Elephas maximus indicus: one gene and its partner. The protein of the gene in region 1 interacts with the protein of each later gene in a pairwise test. Links are inferred from orthologs where the notes say so. Each region holds a gene or a part of one and is shown on either strand. Other genes may lie near its edges. The genes, in order: GRB10 and GIGYF1.

Evidence for each region.
Region 2: the proteins of GRB10 (region 1) and GIGYF1 interact in a two-hybrid assay, tested with the Homo sapiens proteins (2 studies listed by BioGRID). The link is inferred for Elephas maximus indicus from reciprocal best matches to the Homo sapiens genes GRB10 and GIGYF1.

Annotation. Positions count from the first base shown.
Region 1 is NC_064826.1:112,565,187-112,573,962, forward strand, and holds the start of GRB10 (growth factor receptor-bound protein 10), read left to right. Parts: upstream 1-4,935; 5' UTR 4,936-5,243; intron 5,244-8,776.
Region 2 is NC_064830.1:92,094,475-92,103,679, reverse strand, and holds the start of GIGYF1 (GRB10-interacting GYF protein 1), read left to right. Parts: upstream 1-5,475; 5' UTR 5,476-5,740; intron 5,741-5,771; exon of another isoform or gene 5,772-5,900; intron 5,901-9,205. UniProt on the Homo sapiens protein: May act cooperatively with GRB10 to regulate tyrosine kinase receptor signaling. May increase IGF1 receptor phosphorylation under IGF1 stimulation as well as phosphorylation of IRS1 and SHC1.

The DNA of each region.
Region 1 (8,776 bases):
TAGTGTATATTCTCAACAGGAAAATAAAATTATGTGTATAAAAAGGGGGAAAAAAAAGACATCATAAAGAAAATGAAATTTCACGGGAACTCAAAGTAAGTGTTGCTATATAGCCCAAGGCCTGGGGAGACAGTAGGTGAAGGGCGTCTCTCTTCTGCCACATTTGGGTCTTTCTTTAGTATATCATCCTTAACATCTTTAGCCCAACTCACCTGTTCTTCACAGATGGCTCCCCTTATCCTGTCCCCTTCCAGTACGTATGGGTTCAAATTCCAAAGCAGGCATCTGATTGGCTGAGTTCATCCTTTGCCCACAGGCTGATCTATGGAATGGGAATCCTTGGTCAAAGCAATTGTTCTTAGAGACCAAGGAAAACCAGGGTTGTGGAGGCAAACCTCCAGTCAGGAAGAAAAATGGTAGGCCCATTATGGACATAACGTATAAATTTCTTAGCATGGCAAGTAAGACCCTTCTTGATCTGTCTCCTTCTTACCTAGTCTCTCGTCAAATCTCCTGACCACCCTTCCATGATCCCCAGGCTCAGCATTCTGACTAAGCGCAACTACTTGGTGTCCTTCAGTGAAGTGTTGTTCCCTGAAGGAGCCAAATTCTTCTTGGCTATAGTCCTAGAAAAGGTCCTTATTTGACAGATACGGTTTGTGCTTGACTGCTAACCTAAAGGTTGGTGGTTCGAACTCAGCCAGCAGTACCGTAGAAGAAAAGCCCTGGCAATCTCCTTCCATAAAGATTACAGTCAAGAGAACCCTATGGATCTCAGTTCTATTCTGCACACATGGGCTTGCAATGAGTCGGAATGGAGTCCACAGCAACCACCACCACCATAGTCCTAAGTACCTGCTTCTTCCTTTACCTGGAAGACCCTTTCTTTAGTTCTTTCTTTGACTAACTTACCAACTTTGATGCTCCAGGACGCCACTGGGGCGTGACCACCACTAGGAAGCTGTCCCTGAATGCCCCATCCCCCCAACTCTATACTCCAGGGCAACCTGCATTTCTCTAGTTCAGAGGTTTCAAAAAATCTTAGTGTTTGGAATACTGGTGTGCAGGTGGGTCTTGGTGGAGTTTGTGAAAAATGTCGCTTGACCCTGGAGTGCGACTCTCCTAGGGCTGGGACGGGCCCAGGAATCAGCCGTGCTTATGGGCCCCTGTGGCAGCAGTCGTTCGGTGGTAGCACTCTTGCCTTCCATGTGGGAGACCTGGGTTCAATTCCTGGCCAATTCACTTCATGTGCAGCAACCACCTGCCTGTGAGTGGAGGCTGGTTGTGTTGCTATGATGCTGGACAGGTTTCACCGTAGCTTCCAGACTAAGGCAGACTAGGAAGAAAGGCTCATGATCTATTTCCAAAAACGTCAGCCATTGAAAACCCTATGGATCATACTGGTCCAGAGTTGCCATGAGTTAGGGGTGACTGGACAGCTAACAACAACAAAAAAGCCCCTTTGGGGTACAGAGGCAGGCAGTCAGTTTATGCACTAGGATGTGAGTATTGCTGACTGCAGATCAATCCCCTACCTGCATTGGCACGTGCGTGGCTGAGTCATGTGACCAGTCTTAGCCCCAAGTGGCCAGATGTGAGGGGAACCTTTGACCAGGGCATTTAACTGTCAGGGTGCCACTTGCCCTGCTCCCCTTTCCTTTGCCAAGGCTACTGGTAATGTTTGAAACGACGGCTGCTCCATCAGGCCAGGTCTCGGTGTTTTCATTTGTTCCACTCGTTTCTTCTACTAATAAATTCCTTCACATGAGACTATTTCCCAGTAATGCTTATTTTGCTTAGTGCTCCCTCTGCTGGGATGACACTGGTGACCTCTCTCATCCTACTTACAGTCAAAAAGGGAGACAGACATTAGTCAGTTCATTACTAATTAGGAATTCGAATCGCTGAGATTCTCTGCTTTCAGCCAAATGAGTCTTACAACATATGTTCGGATAATTGAGTTCCTGCCTGTCACAAATCTTGTCTCCTGTCCTGAGACCTAACCTTCCAGCTAATACGTTTTTCTGTGGTGAAGTTCTTGAACTATAAAGACACTCTGCCTTGTGCCTACTAGGCTGGCTCTCTGTATAATTTATAGGCTGCATTGCTGTATTCCACTTCTGGCTTCCATCCTGAGGGAGGGAGCCTGTGGGCCATGGGCATCAGGAGTCTGGGGCAGGGAAGACAATCTGCCTACAGGAGTGGCTCGGGCAGGATGGCTGCGCTGAGGACAGCTGCCGCGTCTCCAGCCACAGGAGTGCCAAGATGCGTGAACTTGTATCAAAAAGTCGTACCGATCGTGTCCTGCCCAGAAAGGAGAGGCAGGCATGGATGTCTATGGGAAAAATGTGGGGAATAAAGCCCTGTCCTAGGAATTCTGGTGATGGATGTCAGTATGAAAACACTTGAGGACACTTATCTTAATCCTTTCTTAGTGAATAGTAATGTTTAAAAACCCATATATTTCCAGACAACTAAATGTAATACCTGACCATAGACTGGATGTTGTAAAGAAGAGGAAGAAAACACCATAAAGGACACTATCAGACTGACTGACAAAATTGGAATATAGATATAGATTAAAAAAAAAAAAAAAAAGATTAGACACAAGTATTTTATCAATGTAAATTTATGAATCTGAGAACTGTACTGTAGTTATGTAGATAACATTGCTATTCTTAGGAAAGATGGAAAGATATATCAGGTATGTATGGCAAAGGGCCATGGTGTATGTACCAAAATAAACCAGCTCCATCTAGTCCATTCCGACTCAGGGCAACCCCTTTTGTGTCTGGGGAGAACTGTGTTCCATAGCGTTTTTAATGGCTGAGTTTTTGGAAGTAGATTGCCAGGCCTTTCTTCTGAGGTGCCTCTGGGTAGACACAAACCTTCAACCTTTCAGTTAGCAGCTGAGTGCATTACAATTTGCACCACCCAGGGACTCCAAGGTGTATGTAATTACCCACAAATAGTTAAAAAAAAAAAGTATATGCATATTGGTACTTTTCAAATGCAGTCCCTGGATGGCACAATAGTTTAAGCACTCAAGGGCTAGTGAATAGGTTGGCGGTTCGAACCCACCCAGAGGCAGCTCAGAAGACAGTCCTGCTAATCTGCTTCTGAGATGTCACAGCCTTGAAAAGCCTATGGAGCAGCTCTATTCTGCACACGTGGGGTTGCCATGAGTTGGTATCCACCTGATGGCAACTAGTACTTTTCGAACATCTATAAAAGCCCCTGTCTCTCAAGCATTCTGGCTGCTGAAGACATGGACTGCTATAAGGTTCAAAGCATAGACATTTAAGAAGTTGACCAAAACCTAGTTTCTCTTCTTTCCTGTAGTCTTTACATTTTTCAAATCCCTTGCTTAAAATATAATCCCATGTGTTCCTTTTCCCTAGGAATCTTTCGTTCGCTCCATCCTCCCATGATTTTCATCTTAATGCTTTCTGAGCTTGGACCAATGGGTAGAAATGTTTCAGTTCCAGAAAAAGAAGTCTAGTACACAGAATACTGTGGGAAAAACCATTACTAGAAGGAAAAGAAATACAGAAACAAATGCTAAAAGGTGCCTAAAAAGGGCTTCAGGGTCCCTGGGTGATGCAAATGGTTAGGCATTTGGCTGCTAAACGAAAGGCCAGAAGTTCAAGTCCACCCAGAAGCACCTAGGGTGTCTGTCCGGCATGGCAATCTACTTCTGGACAAATCAGTCACTGAAAAACCCTATGCAGCACGTTTCTATTCTGACACACATGGGGTCACCATGAGATAACAATGGGTTTTCAAAAGTGCTTTGGCCTGGTAAATGGCATTGAATTCTTTCTCTGCCACTTACCAGCTACCTGGACTTTGGCAAATTATTTAGTACCTCCAAGACTCAGTGTCCAAGTCTGTGAAGTGGGTAGCTCCCAGTAACAACCTTAGAGGGCCAGGGTGCAGACTGAATGAAAGAATGAATGAGTGCTGGCACAAAGTATGTGTTCAATAAAAGTAAGTTACTGTTGTAGCTTTTTAAAAAACAACATTAAGGCCCAAAAAAGACATATTATTATTTTCCTCTTTGTATTATAATTTTGACAGCATAGACATAAGTAATCATATTAACGACAATAGTTTCCATCAACGCGGGGGTTCATTCCTGCCAGTGACTTTATGTTATGGGTATGACCTCATTTAACCCCCATGACTCTGAGGCCTGTGTTCTTATTAGCCCATTTCAAAGATAAGGACACAGGCTAAGCGACATTAAGGAAATATTCTGGTCTTCCCACTCTATCACCACTCTGATACTCACTTGCAGATGGGAAACTGAGGCCCAGAGTGGCAAAAGCCGCAAACCCACTGACTATGACTGACACTGGAAACCCAGGTTTCCTTTTCCTGGCCCGGGGACCGCCATCCCCACGACAGAGTACGGGCAGCTGCAATTTATCTGTCTCGTCCTGATGAAGAATTTTGGACTCGCCCAAGATGAAGAATTTGGACTGGATCGTTAATACTCCTGAGTTTCAAACATTCACTTACAAACTGCCTTTTGAAATAGTTCCGATCTCTCATTAGCTCTCGGTTCCCGCGTCCGCCCCGGCCCTAGGGCAGCAGGGGGAGGGGGTTCCGGGGCTCATCCACGGCTGCCTGTCCCTCCTCGCTCGCCTCAGGCACGGGCCGCGCAGACGCCGCCGGCGCCGCCCGGGGGATGCTCCGCCGAGGCCCCTGCCTTACTCTGCCCCGACGCCCTGCGCGTCACGCCCGGGCCGAGGCCACAGCTCCTCCCGCCGTGGCGGCTGCCCAGCGGTCCGGGCTGCGGCGGTGGCGGGAGGAGGAGCAGGAAAGGCGGCCGGGGGAGGAGGCGGAGGCGGAGGAGGCGGAGGAGGGGCGGGCGGGGCTGGAAGAGTTTAAAGCCCATTGGGGGGGGCGGGGAAGGCAGGCACGGAGGAAGGAAGGCAAAGGAGCTGGAGGCGCGGCGGGCCGGGAGGCGGCCGGCTGGACGGCGAGTGCGCGCCGCGGGCGGGCAGGGGTCGGGCACGGCTCTGGGAGACCAGGCGGTGACCACGCAGGACCGGCGGCGGCGGCGGAGCCAAAGTTTTCGCGCAGTCCTTCGGCGCGGCGCCGGCGCGGGTCCCGACCGGGTGACGGTCCTGCGCGCCTCTCTCAGTCCCCGCGGGGAGACCCAGCGCGGCGTCCGACCGGGCGGGAGTGTCGCCCGCGGCCACGCGGAGGCGGCCGGGGAACGGCGCCCGCAGCAGGTATGGAGCGGCCCCGCCGGCCGCGCGCCGCTGACTTGGGCGGGGAGCGCTGCGGGGAAGTTACTTTGTCGCTTGGTGTCCTCCGCGGGAGGGGCCGGGCTCGCCGGCCGGCCTGCCGGGCCCGGTTCGCCGGGAGCGGCCGGTCGCCGGCATTGTCTGCGCGCTCGCCGGCAGCGGCCAGAGCCGGCGGGCACCCCGGGAGGCGCGGGCGGGGCGGAAGGGCGTCGCCTCCGGGCGGGGGGCTCAGCCGCCCCGGGCCCGAGGCTGGAGGCACCAAGAGGCGGGGACTCGGGATGCGAGCGAGCGCGCTTGGAGCCGGCCGGGCGCTTCGCCCGGGGCTCTCTCCCGACTCCCTTCGCGACCCCTTGGGGGAGGTGTTGAGCGCAAACGGTGCATTCTTGAACCATCTTGTCAGACGCTAGCTGCACTCGCGGTGGGGGTGGGGGCCGAGGCCGCGCTCCCGGGGGGCTGCCCCGGGCTCGGGGAGGGCTAGCCGCGGGGCGCTTCTGCAGCCCCCTCCTTCCAACTGAGGTGGGGGCCGCGACGCTCGTGGCCTGGCCAGCCGCGGGGTCAGCGGTGCACGGGCACTCCCAAGTCCAGAGCGCTGCGCGGCCTGGGACTCCGGCCCGCGGGGAATTTTTTTTTTTTTTTTTTTTTGGCTTTGTTAGTCACCCCGTTACCCCCTTCTGGGCCTAACATCAAGTTGAGGGCTCGCGGATTAGCCGCCGCGCCAGCCGTGGAAATGTGATAAGAGCGATACCGTTTGCAGAAGGAAATTTCTGATGCAATGCTCTGCCTTTTCTGATTGCCTCTCCAAACGCCTGCCTGGTGACGGTACTCAAGCATGTGCGTTATGGAAATTAGGGTATTTACTTTTTATGCGGCTTTTCTTTTTTCGGGATTGGAAGAAACGCTACATTTTTGTTGTTTGCTTTGACTGAAACCTTGGGTAATGTAGAGGAGCCACAGGTGACTTTTACACGGCCCTGAATCTTTAGGATACATTTAAGAAATGTTTTCCTGCAAATGTAGTACCCCGTTTCATTCAAGAGATGCAAAGAAAAGAACCCAAATAAGTAGCGCTCTTGAGTAAATATGCATTATTGCACAACTTTCTCTTTGCTGCTGTTTAAAAGGCCAGGCCCAGAACACTTTGTTTCTGAAAATGCTGATTCAGCCGTTTGGAGCTCCTGAGTTTCAGAAGCGGTGCCGTATTTAACGTTTCGCTCAGTTTTTACCAGGAGGAACACATGTCAGCGCTGCAGCACAGCACTGACCGAGGTGTGGGCCACAGTGCTAGTCAGTTTTCCCAAGTCTTGACCAAGAGTTTCATCTTTTCTTTCTTGGAGGAAAAATAGGTGGGAGCTAGGTTTCTGCAAGAAGAAATTCTGGTCTGTGGCAACGGTGAAATGTCTTTTAGGGGAGTGTGTTGTTCTGTCAAAGCCATGAAACCAAATGTATCTCCAGGAATGCTTCTAGGTGTCTTAGTAGTTCTGTTAAAAATCAAAACTCTAGGATTACTGCACATACTGTTTGAGTTTTACCAGGAGCATTTGAAAGAAGGGGCCACACAGGCCAATCCCTAGATTACAGGGAGGGGATTTGAGGACAGACCAAGTCACACACCCAGCAGCATTGCCTGTGTAACTGAGAAGTGTAGCGACTGACACTGCTGTAGCATTTCAGTTTACAAGGCACTTTCAAAAGCCTTGCTGCTTTTAATCCTTCTACAGCTTCCTGATCCCCATTTTACAGATGTGGAAACCAAGGCTCAGGAGGTTAACGGGTATGCCCAAGGTCCCCAAACAGCAAATGGCAGAGCTGTACCTGAGCCTAAGCCTTGAATTCTTTTTAGTCCTGTGTGTTTTATACTTCTGCACAAGTACATCCTCTCAAAAAGGGTGATGGCAGCAGGGAGGAGGCACACCCCTCAGTCACACGGACAACTAGGAGGACCTGTGACCCTTGTTTAGCCCCCGGCACCAAGCATTCAAGATTTCTGCCCTATTGCCATGCTGCCGTCAATATTTTTTTTTAGCCCATTCACATTGTATACTTAAAAGTTGTTAGCTGCCTTTCAGTTGGCTCCTGACTCATGCAAATGGGAACAAAACGCAGCTTGGTCCTGCTCCTTCTCCATGATCAAGTTGTGGATTGGACCGTTGTGATCCGTAGGGTATTCATTGGCTGATTTTGGAAGTAGGTCGCCAGGCCTTTCTTCCTACTCCATCTTTAGTCTGGAAGCTCCACTGAAATCTGTTCAACACCATAGCAGTACGCAAGGCTCTACTGACAGGTAGTGACTGTGCCTGAAGTGTACTAGCCAGGAATCGAATTCGGGCCTCCTGCATGGAAGGCAAGAATTCTGCCACTAATCAAAATGCCTCACGTACTTAAGTAGGTGTTTATTTTAAGAAGAACCTTTGATATTCATGAAGTCATGGGTTTAATATGATAGTTACGTTTTTTGCGAGTTGTGTACCCCTAAAGTCACCTGTTGGGTATCACTCGTGGTTTGCTGCATTGCTTTTGTGGTAGTGTTTGACTGGTCAAAACACTTGCCATTTTGTGGACTAGGAACCCGGGAGCTGGGCAGATTCATGTCAGTTACTTAGCCAGGGCTTTGTGGTCTGATGGGAGCCACCAGGATTGGAACCCATGGCAGCCCTGGCTCAGTCACAGCAACCGGCTCTGTGTGCCCTCTGCCTTTACTGGAAGAAAAGAGCAGAATCAGAATTTAAGAGCAAACTCAGCAGTTCTTATTTTGATGACTTGGCTGGGTCTGAGACTTTGCAATGTATAGAAACCATACTCTAGCTTGAACAAAGACATCTTTTGTGCCTTCAGCTTCATCCCAGAGGTGTAAAAATTCTTGGTTTGTATATCTGATAAAAACTAATGCTTTAAAGGTGGTATAATTTAAGGAACCTATTTCCTTGGACTTCTGTCCAGCTCTGAATTGCAGGGGGAAGAAGCCTATACAGTGGCAGAATGTATGTTAGCTGTATCTAAGTTTGTGGTTCAGTGGTTAAGCATTCAGCTGCTAACCAAAAGGTCGGCAGTTAGAATCCATCAGCTGTTCCTTGGAAACCCTTTGGGGCGGTTCTACTCTGTCCTGTAGGGTTGCTGTGAGTTGGCATCGAGTCGATGGCAGCAGGTTGGGTTGAAGTTAGTTTAAGGAGCTCTAGTGGTGCAGTGGTGAAATGCTCTGCTGCTAACCGAAAGGTTGACAGTTCGAACCTACCAGCTGCTCTGTGACAGAAAGACATGGCAATCTGCTTCTGTAAAGATTTACAGCCTTGGAAATCCTATGTGGCAGCTCTGCTTTGTCCTGTAGGATCACTATGAGTCGGAAGTGACTCTGGCAATTTTTTTTTTTTTTTTTTAGGGTTAGTTTGCCTTCCTTTTGGAATTCAGCAAGCTAATTGCTTGAGATTTCTGAATTTCTGTCCTGTTTGGTGCCTGATGGGGTGGAAGCCTGTGCTTTGCACATTTTCTGGGTAATCTGGTGTCTGTTAAGCCATGGGCTCATG
Region 2 (9,205 bases), on another chromosome or scaffold:
GAGCACTGCGCTCTCTCAAGATTTATCTACATGGGATCAAACTGACAACAGCAACTTGAAAGGTTAGATAGGAAACTTAGGGGACAGTGAGTTTATTAATGGGAGAGGAACAACTCAGAAAAGGAGAGTGAGAACGGTTGTACAACCCAAAGAATATAATCAATGTCACTGAACTGTACATGTAGAAACTGTTGAATTAACGTGTGTGTATATTCTCAAGAAAATAAATAAAATTTTTGAAAAGATTGATTTAGCTATTTAGGGTCCCTTGCCCTTCCATACAAATTTGAGGATGGGCTTTTCCATTTCTGCATGGAAAGCTGTTGGAATTTTGATGGGGACTGCAGTGAATTTATAGATTGCTTTGCATAGTATTGACATCCTAACTATAGCAAGCCTTCAAACCCACAAACATGGAATGTCCTTCCATTTATTTAGGTCTTCTTTGATTTCATTTAGAAATGTTTTACAGTTTTCTGTGCACATGTCTTTCTCCTTCCTAGTTAAAATTATTCCTAGGTATTTTATTAGTGGAAACCCTGGTGGCGTAGTGGTTAAGTGCTACAGCTGCTAACCAAAGGGTCAGCAGTTCGAATCTGCCAGGCACTCCTTGGAAACTCTATGGGGCAGTTCTACTCTGTCCTATAGTGCTGCTATGAGTCGGAATCAACTCGACAGCACCGTGTTTGGTTTTTTTTTTTTTTTTTTGCCTATTGTAAATAGTAATGTTTCCTTGATTTTCTTTTCTACTTGTTCATTGCTTGTGTATTAAAAACCCAACTGCTTTTTGTGTGTGGTCTGTCTTATTAACAATACACCTAACATTTGCAGACCAGTTTACCCCTAATAGTGTGCTTTATTGAGGCATTCTCTCTTCCTGTCCTCACATCAACTCCACCAAGTGGCTATTATCCAAATATAAAGAAAGTTCCACGTTGTTTGGGGTTATGAAATTGTCAGGCGTACTTTTAACTTTAAAGCACTGTGACAAGTGCTTTATGATACAAACCACCCCAGACAGAGAGGTTAACCAACTTGCCCAAGGCCACAGTCAGTACAGGATGGAAGCAGCGCGGGAGTCCTCACTCTGAGCCGCTGCATTTTCTAGCCTGTGAGCAAGCAGCTTGCCTGACCACATAGAAGGAGCAGTGGATAATAGAAAGCTGCTGTTCCAAATCCCCGAAATATTGCCACCCTTGTTACGTAGGCCGATCAGAAAACTTAATTCATGGCCAAAAGTAATTCTGAATGTAATACATTAATGTTAAGGCCCACTGTGTCTGAAATAATTTACTACAAGCACAGTTTAGGGACATGGCAAATTGAGTTCCTTTACGCGGCCTTTTGCTTTGGTTCTTTGGGAAAAACCAGCTTGGGAGATTTTCCCCCTTAAACTCTTTTTCCTAATTTTTCGGAGAAGCAATGTGGGCGGGGGCTCCCAGGTTATTTTCTACCCCAAACGGTGTATTACTTTTGCCCAAGGGATCTTCTAGGTTAATTGACATTTCCTGGGTAAACTGTAAAAGCAACTTGATGGTTTGATACTTCCCCCTGATAACTAACAAGACCTGAGTTGATTGACATTGCAGGGGTTGACTGAGGATTGGTTGAACTGGTCTGATGAGGGAGGCCTCGCCTTGTAACTGACAAGGATCAGGATATATAAATGGCTGAACTGCAGAAGTTTTGAGAGGCCTCCTGGAAGAGAGAGGGAGATACTGGCTAAGAGCTGCCCAACAGAGAAGCAGAGCCACGTGGGAACTGAGTGATCTTGAAGCTGCTACACTGGCTGGGGTAGTTAGCAGCAAAGAGGCCTACTTCTGAACAGTTGCTACGCGGGCGGTTAACTGGCCCAATTAGCAGCAAAGAGGCTGAAGGCGGATAGCCTGAAAGCAGAGCACCCAACAGCAGAGAGGTCCAACAGCAGAAAGTTGCTGCTAGCAGAGCAGCAGCTAAGAAAGCTGACTAGGCTGTTACACTGGCTATGAGCTGGGCCAGTTAGCCATGGAAGAGCCGATGGCAGAGAGGTCTGACGGTACAGAGCTGCTACTAGCAGAGCAGCAGCTGAGAAAGCTGAGCAGGCTGCTATACTGGCTATGAGCTGGGCCAGTTAGTGGCAGGGAGCCTGACAATGGAGGGGCCTGCAAGGCAGAGAAGACAGCCACCTGGCAGAGAAGCCACACCCAACTGATCACTGGAGGCCTGTGTGTTTCCTGACACGGATCCTGCGTTCTTGCAACTTCCAAGCTGATACGGTCCTGAGTTATATAACCTGTTAACTTTCCTAATAAACCGCATAACTGTGAGTATGGTCTGTGAGTTCTGTGAGGCCACTGCAATAAATTATCAAGTCCTGCAGAGAAGTAGAGTGTCACGGGGGGAGTGGCTGGTGTCAGAAATTATGGAGAAAGTGGGGAGGCAGAGTTATAGCTGAACCTCCGCCCCACTGGAACCAGTTTTGTGCTGATCCTGTTTCTTACTCCTCAGGAATTTAGACAACTTATGAGGCTTTGCTTTAATCAGGAGCCCTGGTAGCGTGGTGGTTAATAAATCAGCTGGTAACCAAAAGGTCAACAGTTTGAATCCACCAGCCACTCCTCGGAAACCTTGTGGAGCAGTTCTACTCTGTCCTATAGGGCTGCTATGAGTCGGAATCGACTTGACGCAACAGGTTTTTTTTTGTCACTTTAATGAACTATCACCACATTGCTCAGGCTGTGTGTCTTTTCATGGTATTTGACACATGTTTTACAAGTGTTGATATCCAGCTAAATATAAACATTGGCAATTTAGGTGGGTGAAGTCAGTCTCTGTAATAAACTGATTTAACAACAAGAGAGTCCTTATCTCTTTACATTTCATTGAAGGAAAACACCACAGATGAACCTGGCATTATAAAAAAGGCAGAGATTGGCTGTTAGTCTTGAGACCTCCCTTTTATCTCAATTAATCATCTTAACTAAATCTTTGTTAAGTTCAAACGTTTGCAAATTGAAAACAACCCAGATCAAGACATTCTACAGCATAGCACCTGAATAAACAAAAGTATTTTAGGTCCAAGTGACTGTTTTCATAATACCGGATGGGAGATTCACAGTTCAGATTTAATTGTTTCCTTCCTCAAAGAGGCAGCCTATACATTCAGTGTCATCAGAAACAGCCCTCCCACTTTAGAGTCGGGGAGATTAAATGACTTGCAAAATGATACACAGGGGATCCTGCGCAATCGCCCCAACCTTCTACCCTGGAATCCAGTGTGCTGTCCTTATTATGCTACATCCACAGTGGTTTCTACTCTCAAACGCAGACTTTCACAGCAGCATTCCAGCCCCTCAACTTAAGTTTCACTTCATTTCTTGTTCAACTAGCGGTTCAGGATCCTCTTCTCTCATCAGCCCGGACTGTCACTCTTCACAAACCTACACACACTTTTCCTACCAGTTGCCATTGAGTAGAACTGCGCTCCATAGGGTTTTTATGGCAGTGACCTTATAGAAGCAGATGGCCAGGCCTTACCTCCAAGGGGTATCTAGGTGGGTTCGAACCACCAACCTTTTGGCTAGTAGCTGAGTGCTTAATCATTTGCACTACCCAGGAACTTCTGCACTTTTCCTAAATCTATCCAAATCCTGCCCTTCCCACCAGATCAGCTCAAACAGCCAGTGTCCTGGCTGCTTCCACCCCACAGAGACCCACCCTCTTTTTCCCTGTATAATCTCTTTACCATAGTTTACAATCTCGTTTGCTTATTAAATTGAGAGATTAGGCTGCTGGTAACTTCAACCACCTAGAACATAACTCCAATCCAGAAAAGTAAACCACCAACAAAAGCTTTTAAGTAGAAAAAACAGTGGCCATACACTTATTTTATTCTAGCAGTTCTCTGACTCAAGCTGCGTTCTGCTGATACACATTTTCATAGTGTTAACTGTCCTGAATATTGCGTTTCACAAATCACATTAAACCAGAAGCCCCTATTAGCTAACATTTGTGGAGTGTTTGGCTTGACGAGTACCATGCTAAATGCTTTAGGATACAAACCACAAAAGACAGGTTAACCAACTTGCCCAAGGTCACAGTCAGTAAGGGATGGAGTCCTTATTCTTAACCACTGCATTTTCCAGCCAGTAAGCAAGCAGCTTACAAGACAAGCAAGACAACACAGAAGCAGGAAAGCCAACAAAACTTAAAAAACAGACACTGCCTGGACTCTCTGTTGACCCCAAACTAAAACCATTCCTGGAGCCAAATCTTCAGACAGAGATGACTGTACTGTAAGACATAAAATGATACTCCCGAAGACTGTGCTTCTTAGTTCAAGTAGATAAAAGTAGATACGTGAGACTAAATTGGCAGTTCCTGTGTAGAGGTGAGATGAAAAGGCAGAAAGGGACAGGAGCTGGTTGAATGGACACGGGAAATACAGGATGGAAAGGAGTGTGCTGACATAGGGATAGCAACTAGGGTCACATACCAATGTGTGTATAAATTTTTGTATGAGAAACCAACTTGAGCTATAAACTTCCACTTAAAGCATGCTTAAAAAAAAAAAAAAAAGACTAAAACTACAGTGCACAGAAGCAAGAGGGTGCTTACTGAAGGAACAAAGGGCCTTCGAGATCACTCCTGAAGTCCACATTCTGTTAAGGTACCACACAAGGGACTCAAGTTCCAAGTCATGAACTTACTTTCCCGTCATGAAAAGGATTACATTGTGTTTGGTAACAGCTGTTTTAGAAAGTGGGAAAGTAAAGTCTACATTCTGGAATGACTTCCAAAGAAAACGACGAACACACACGCAAAACTTTTTCATCCTAAAAATTTCAGCGATTCGGAGGAGTCATTCTTGAAAACCTCTTTTTTAAACAAACGAAGTTTCAGCCTAACGTCTCACATTTACATAGTAGTTTGTCTCTTTCCAAAGCTTTCACATTCACCTATTTAAATTCTTACAGCAATCAATGAAGGGAACGCGGGGGTGGGTGGTGGGAACAGCATTAACACCCCTCTGTAAAAAAGACGGCACTATTTTTTTTTTTTTTTTTAAATAAAAAAGAAGCTGGGGCTCGAAACCTTCAACTCATTCGCCCGAGATCTAGAAGCTGAACCAGAAACTCCAGGTCTCACAAGCCACTGCCGCCTGGGACTGTTTCTAAGTGATGAGGTTCTTCGCTTATTTCACATATCCCAAGATGCATAATGCACATTTCTCGATTTTGTCTCTTTCAATCCAGGCGGGCTTCCTGAAGGAAGCCGACTGGTCAGGAATTGGCGAAGATGCCACTAGCCCTGGTCTCAGTCCCGAGGGTCCCGCGTCACGTGCCGGGGGTACCCCCGGGAGCTCAGGGAGAACCCCGGGGGCATCCCCCCGCCCCGCCAGCAGCAGGCCTCACGTCACGTGACGAGCCAGGCTCCCGGGTCACGTGCCGGGGCGTTCGGCGGGGCGGGCGTCAGTGCCGCGCCCCTCTGGACACGCGGGGAGCGCGCGAGGCCGTGCGGGGTCCGAGCCCGCGGGAGCCGCGGAGGGCGGTGGCGGCGACGGCGGAGGGGGCGGCCCCGCGTCCCCGCGTCCGCGTCACGTGGTGCGAGGCGGGCAGCCATCTTGCTACAAACACAAACAGAGAGGAGCGGCCGCCGCGGGAGCGCCAGCGCCCCCTCCCCCGCCGCCGCTGCCCGCCCGCCGCCCGCCCTCCGCGCGCCGCCAACGCCCTGGGACCGAACCTCGCGCCACCCGCCCGCGGTAAGCGCTCGGCGGCTTCGTGGACCCCGGCCCGCAGCCGGGCCTGGGGCAGGCCCGCCCCCGACGCCGAGGCGGCCGCGCGGAGCCTGCGAGAGCCAGAGCGCGGGCCGCCGGCCGGACCCTCCCCCGTCTCCTCCCCGAGGTCGCCGTCGCCTGCCCGGTGCGTCCGCCCTCTCGGCCCCTCCCCGACGCCCGCCGGCGGACCCTCCCCCGAAGCGGGCCGTGCCCCCGCGCGCCCTCAGAGCCCAGGGCCCTCCTGGCGCCGCTCGCCCTTCACCCCGCGCCCCGCGCACCTGGCGCCCCCTCCCTGAAGGGCACGTTGTCCTCCCCGGCCCGGCCCGCCTCCTCCCCACCCCCGCGCTCCTAACGGTCGCCCCTTCGGGCCCTTCCCAAATTCTGCCCGGGGCGGAGAGCCGATCTCCCCCGGGGGCCTCATCCCACCCGCTCGCATCCTCCGCCGGGCCCGCCGAGGGGGTCCCCGACCCTAATGGTCAGCTCTTCACAGAGCCCGTGCTGTGTGACTGGCGCTTCCTGGAGATTTTCCCCAACACGCCTCGGTGTTCTTGTGGGAATCAGCTGGGCCTTGCGGGGCTTAAAGTCCAAGCGTTCATGACTTTGGAAGCCTTTTCCCGTAATCAGACATCTCGACTGGTTCTTCACTAAAATTTCCTTTCAGCAAGCGACGTTAGTGCTTGGTCATTGGGGTCTCCTTCCTCCCAGTTGCTTGTCAGTATTAAACATCTTCTTTAACAGAGACTCTTTAATCCTTCACCAAGCTAGGCCCTCACACGCACCTCCTCAGCCCATCTCCCCTGATGCGGCAGCTCCTTGGCCACAGCCCCTCAGGTTTTGCATTTTTTCAGGTAACTGCAGAGAGACCCTTATCTTTATCACTTTTTACCCAGTCATTACCAGAATTCCCAGTAAGCTTCCACGTTTCTTCCATCGAAGTGCTTGGCACTGATAGATGCTAAATGCATACTTGGCTGGCTCTTGCCTCTGCCCACCCCAGTTTTACTCCTCTCTTGTTTCTCAAAGTCCTGTTTTCCCAAAGTTCGTGGGCTTCCCCCCAGCCTCTCCCACAGCCCCTCCAGGCTAACACGCCAGTTTCAATTTACCCGCTGCCCCTTTGCCTTGGGAAGTGAAACCATCAGTACTAATAGGCCAGTCCTGGTCTGCTTCTCCCAATATGAGTTGTCTTTGATTCTTTCCCATTTCTACTCTTCCCTTTGCAATCCCAGGCCACCCACTCTCCACCCTAGCTCGTTTTATTTCCTAGATTGTTTGGGTCTGTGTCCCCATTGTCATGTAACTGGGAAAGGTTTGGGGGCAAATCCGCCCTCTCCTCGGGGGGCAGGGGCCTGTAAGGTCTCCTATGGTGACTGAAGTCTAGAGAGTTGAGTGCTTAGACTTCTGGACTAGCTTTTTCAGCTAGTGGGTGCATTAGTGTTGTGTGTGATGCGATGGATAAAGGACCCAGTTTGGCCTGACTTTTACATCTGTGGTTGGAGTTTGGGGTAGAAAAAGTAGCCATATTTAAGAGGAGAGAAGGTGAGAAGAGGCTGCGTGAGGGTTTAAAAAAAAAAAAAAAAAGTCTGACAAAATAAAAATGGTTTTAAACACACAAAGTATGCCTGAGCGTTTGGGACAGTTAACTGTTGCTGGGCGATCCATCTCCAGTCTGGGATGGTGCTGAGGGAGGTTGGGAAACCCTGTTGAGCAGCTGCAGCTTACTTTCTTATTTTCCCTGGCTGGAGCCCCAGACTGAAAAAGGAAAAGTGTGAAAGCACTCTAAAAACCGATAAATAGTATACAAATGCCAGGTGGCATTATTATTTACCATGAGGGCTTAGAGCGTAGAGAGCTGGGGCCAGCCAGAAAGAACACAGGCTTGTACGCCCCTTTTAAGCCTCACCGTTCTCACCCAGTGGAGAATCTTTCCATCCTGAGAAAGGGCCGAGTCACCTTCGCAGACTTGGGGCTGGGCGACTGCTCCAGATGCTGGGAATTTGGAATTCTCCTGTTAATCGTGGTACCATGCTGTGCCAAGGGCCACTGCTCTGGATTGGGCCAATTTTAGAGGCGATGGGGTGTGGAAATAACGGTCTTTACTTAGTGGGTATCGGGACCACTTGTTTTTGGGTCTTTTCCTTCTCTTGAGTTCTGAACTCTGCCAGGCTTCCTTCTGTCCCCTCCAGCCTGTGTGAGGACCAGTGTATGTCCTCTCTGCTAATCTCCAGCAGGGGGCAGCCTTTTAATGGCAGTAATTCCCATGCTAGAGCAGTGAGCAGATGCTCTTGGGTATTGTTGGTAGGTGCTGTCAAGTCAGTTTTGACTCATAGTGACCCCATATGATGGCAGAACTGCCCCATAGGGTTTTCTGGGCTGTAATCTTTACAGGAGCAGGTCACCAGGTCTTTCTCCACCAGAGCAGCTGAATTGGTTTGACCCACCCAAGTTTGGTTAGCAGCAGAGCACCTAACTTTTGTACCACCTGAGTGTGTATTGAGGCCCAAGAAAGAGAAGAAATGGAAGGATAGGGAATGGGCAGATGTCGTATGTGGTAGGCATACTGAGGCAGTACAGAGAGGTAGTGGATAAGCTGGAAGGGGCCATGTGAGAAAAGCCAGGAAAATGTAAGGCAGAAAAGAATGCGGTCCCTAGTTTTCTGCTGTCTGTCTCTCCAGCTCTGGCCTTCATAGGAAGGGGATCCAAATGCTTTGTTTGAGAGTTTGTGATAGAGAAACTTTTTCCCCCTTTAAGCTATTTTCTCAAGGCTTTCTCTCCTGGGACAGTATCATAAGGGAAGGATTTTCCCACTGTTCACAGGAGAGAATGAACTGAGTAAATGTGGTTTTTGTCCTTTACCCTTCCTCATAAACACAGAACGGGCATTACCTGTGTTCACACGGAAGAGGAGGGTTTCTTAACAGTGGCACACTTGACTTTTGGGGCCAGATAATTCTTCGTGGTGGGGGTTGTCCTGTACATTGTTCAACAGCATCCTTGGCCTCTACCCACTAGCAGCCAGTAGCAACCTTTTTCCCAGTTGTGGTGATGAAAAATGTCCATCAAATACCCCCTGGGGAGCAGAGCTGCACCTTGTTTTGCGGGGGGGGGGGTGCCATCTGTGCTGCTTGACAGTGGTTCATTTGGTCTGAGGAAGGATCAGGCAGCCATCCAGCTTCTGGGACCCCAAACCCCTCTCTGGCAGGTCCTAAAGACTTGAACTTTGACTCCTAGCTTCTCCCCAAGAAGGTGGGATGGCTTTGGCCTTTTCCTGCCCAGGGGCTCTTTGTCTCCCCTGACTGCCTCCCTTGCCTCTGCAGTTTTCCTGCTTCTCACGCTTGTTTAAGCCACTTTTCCTCTGCTTGTTGCTTACACCAGGACAGAAGGTGAAGGCAAGAAGCAGAAAGCACTGAGGAAAGCTGCTGTTGCCACACCCTGGGAGGGGGGGGGGTTCCC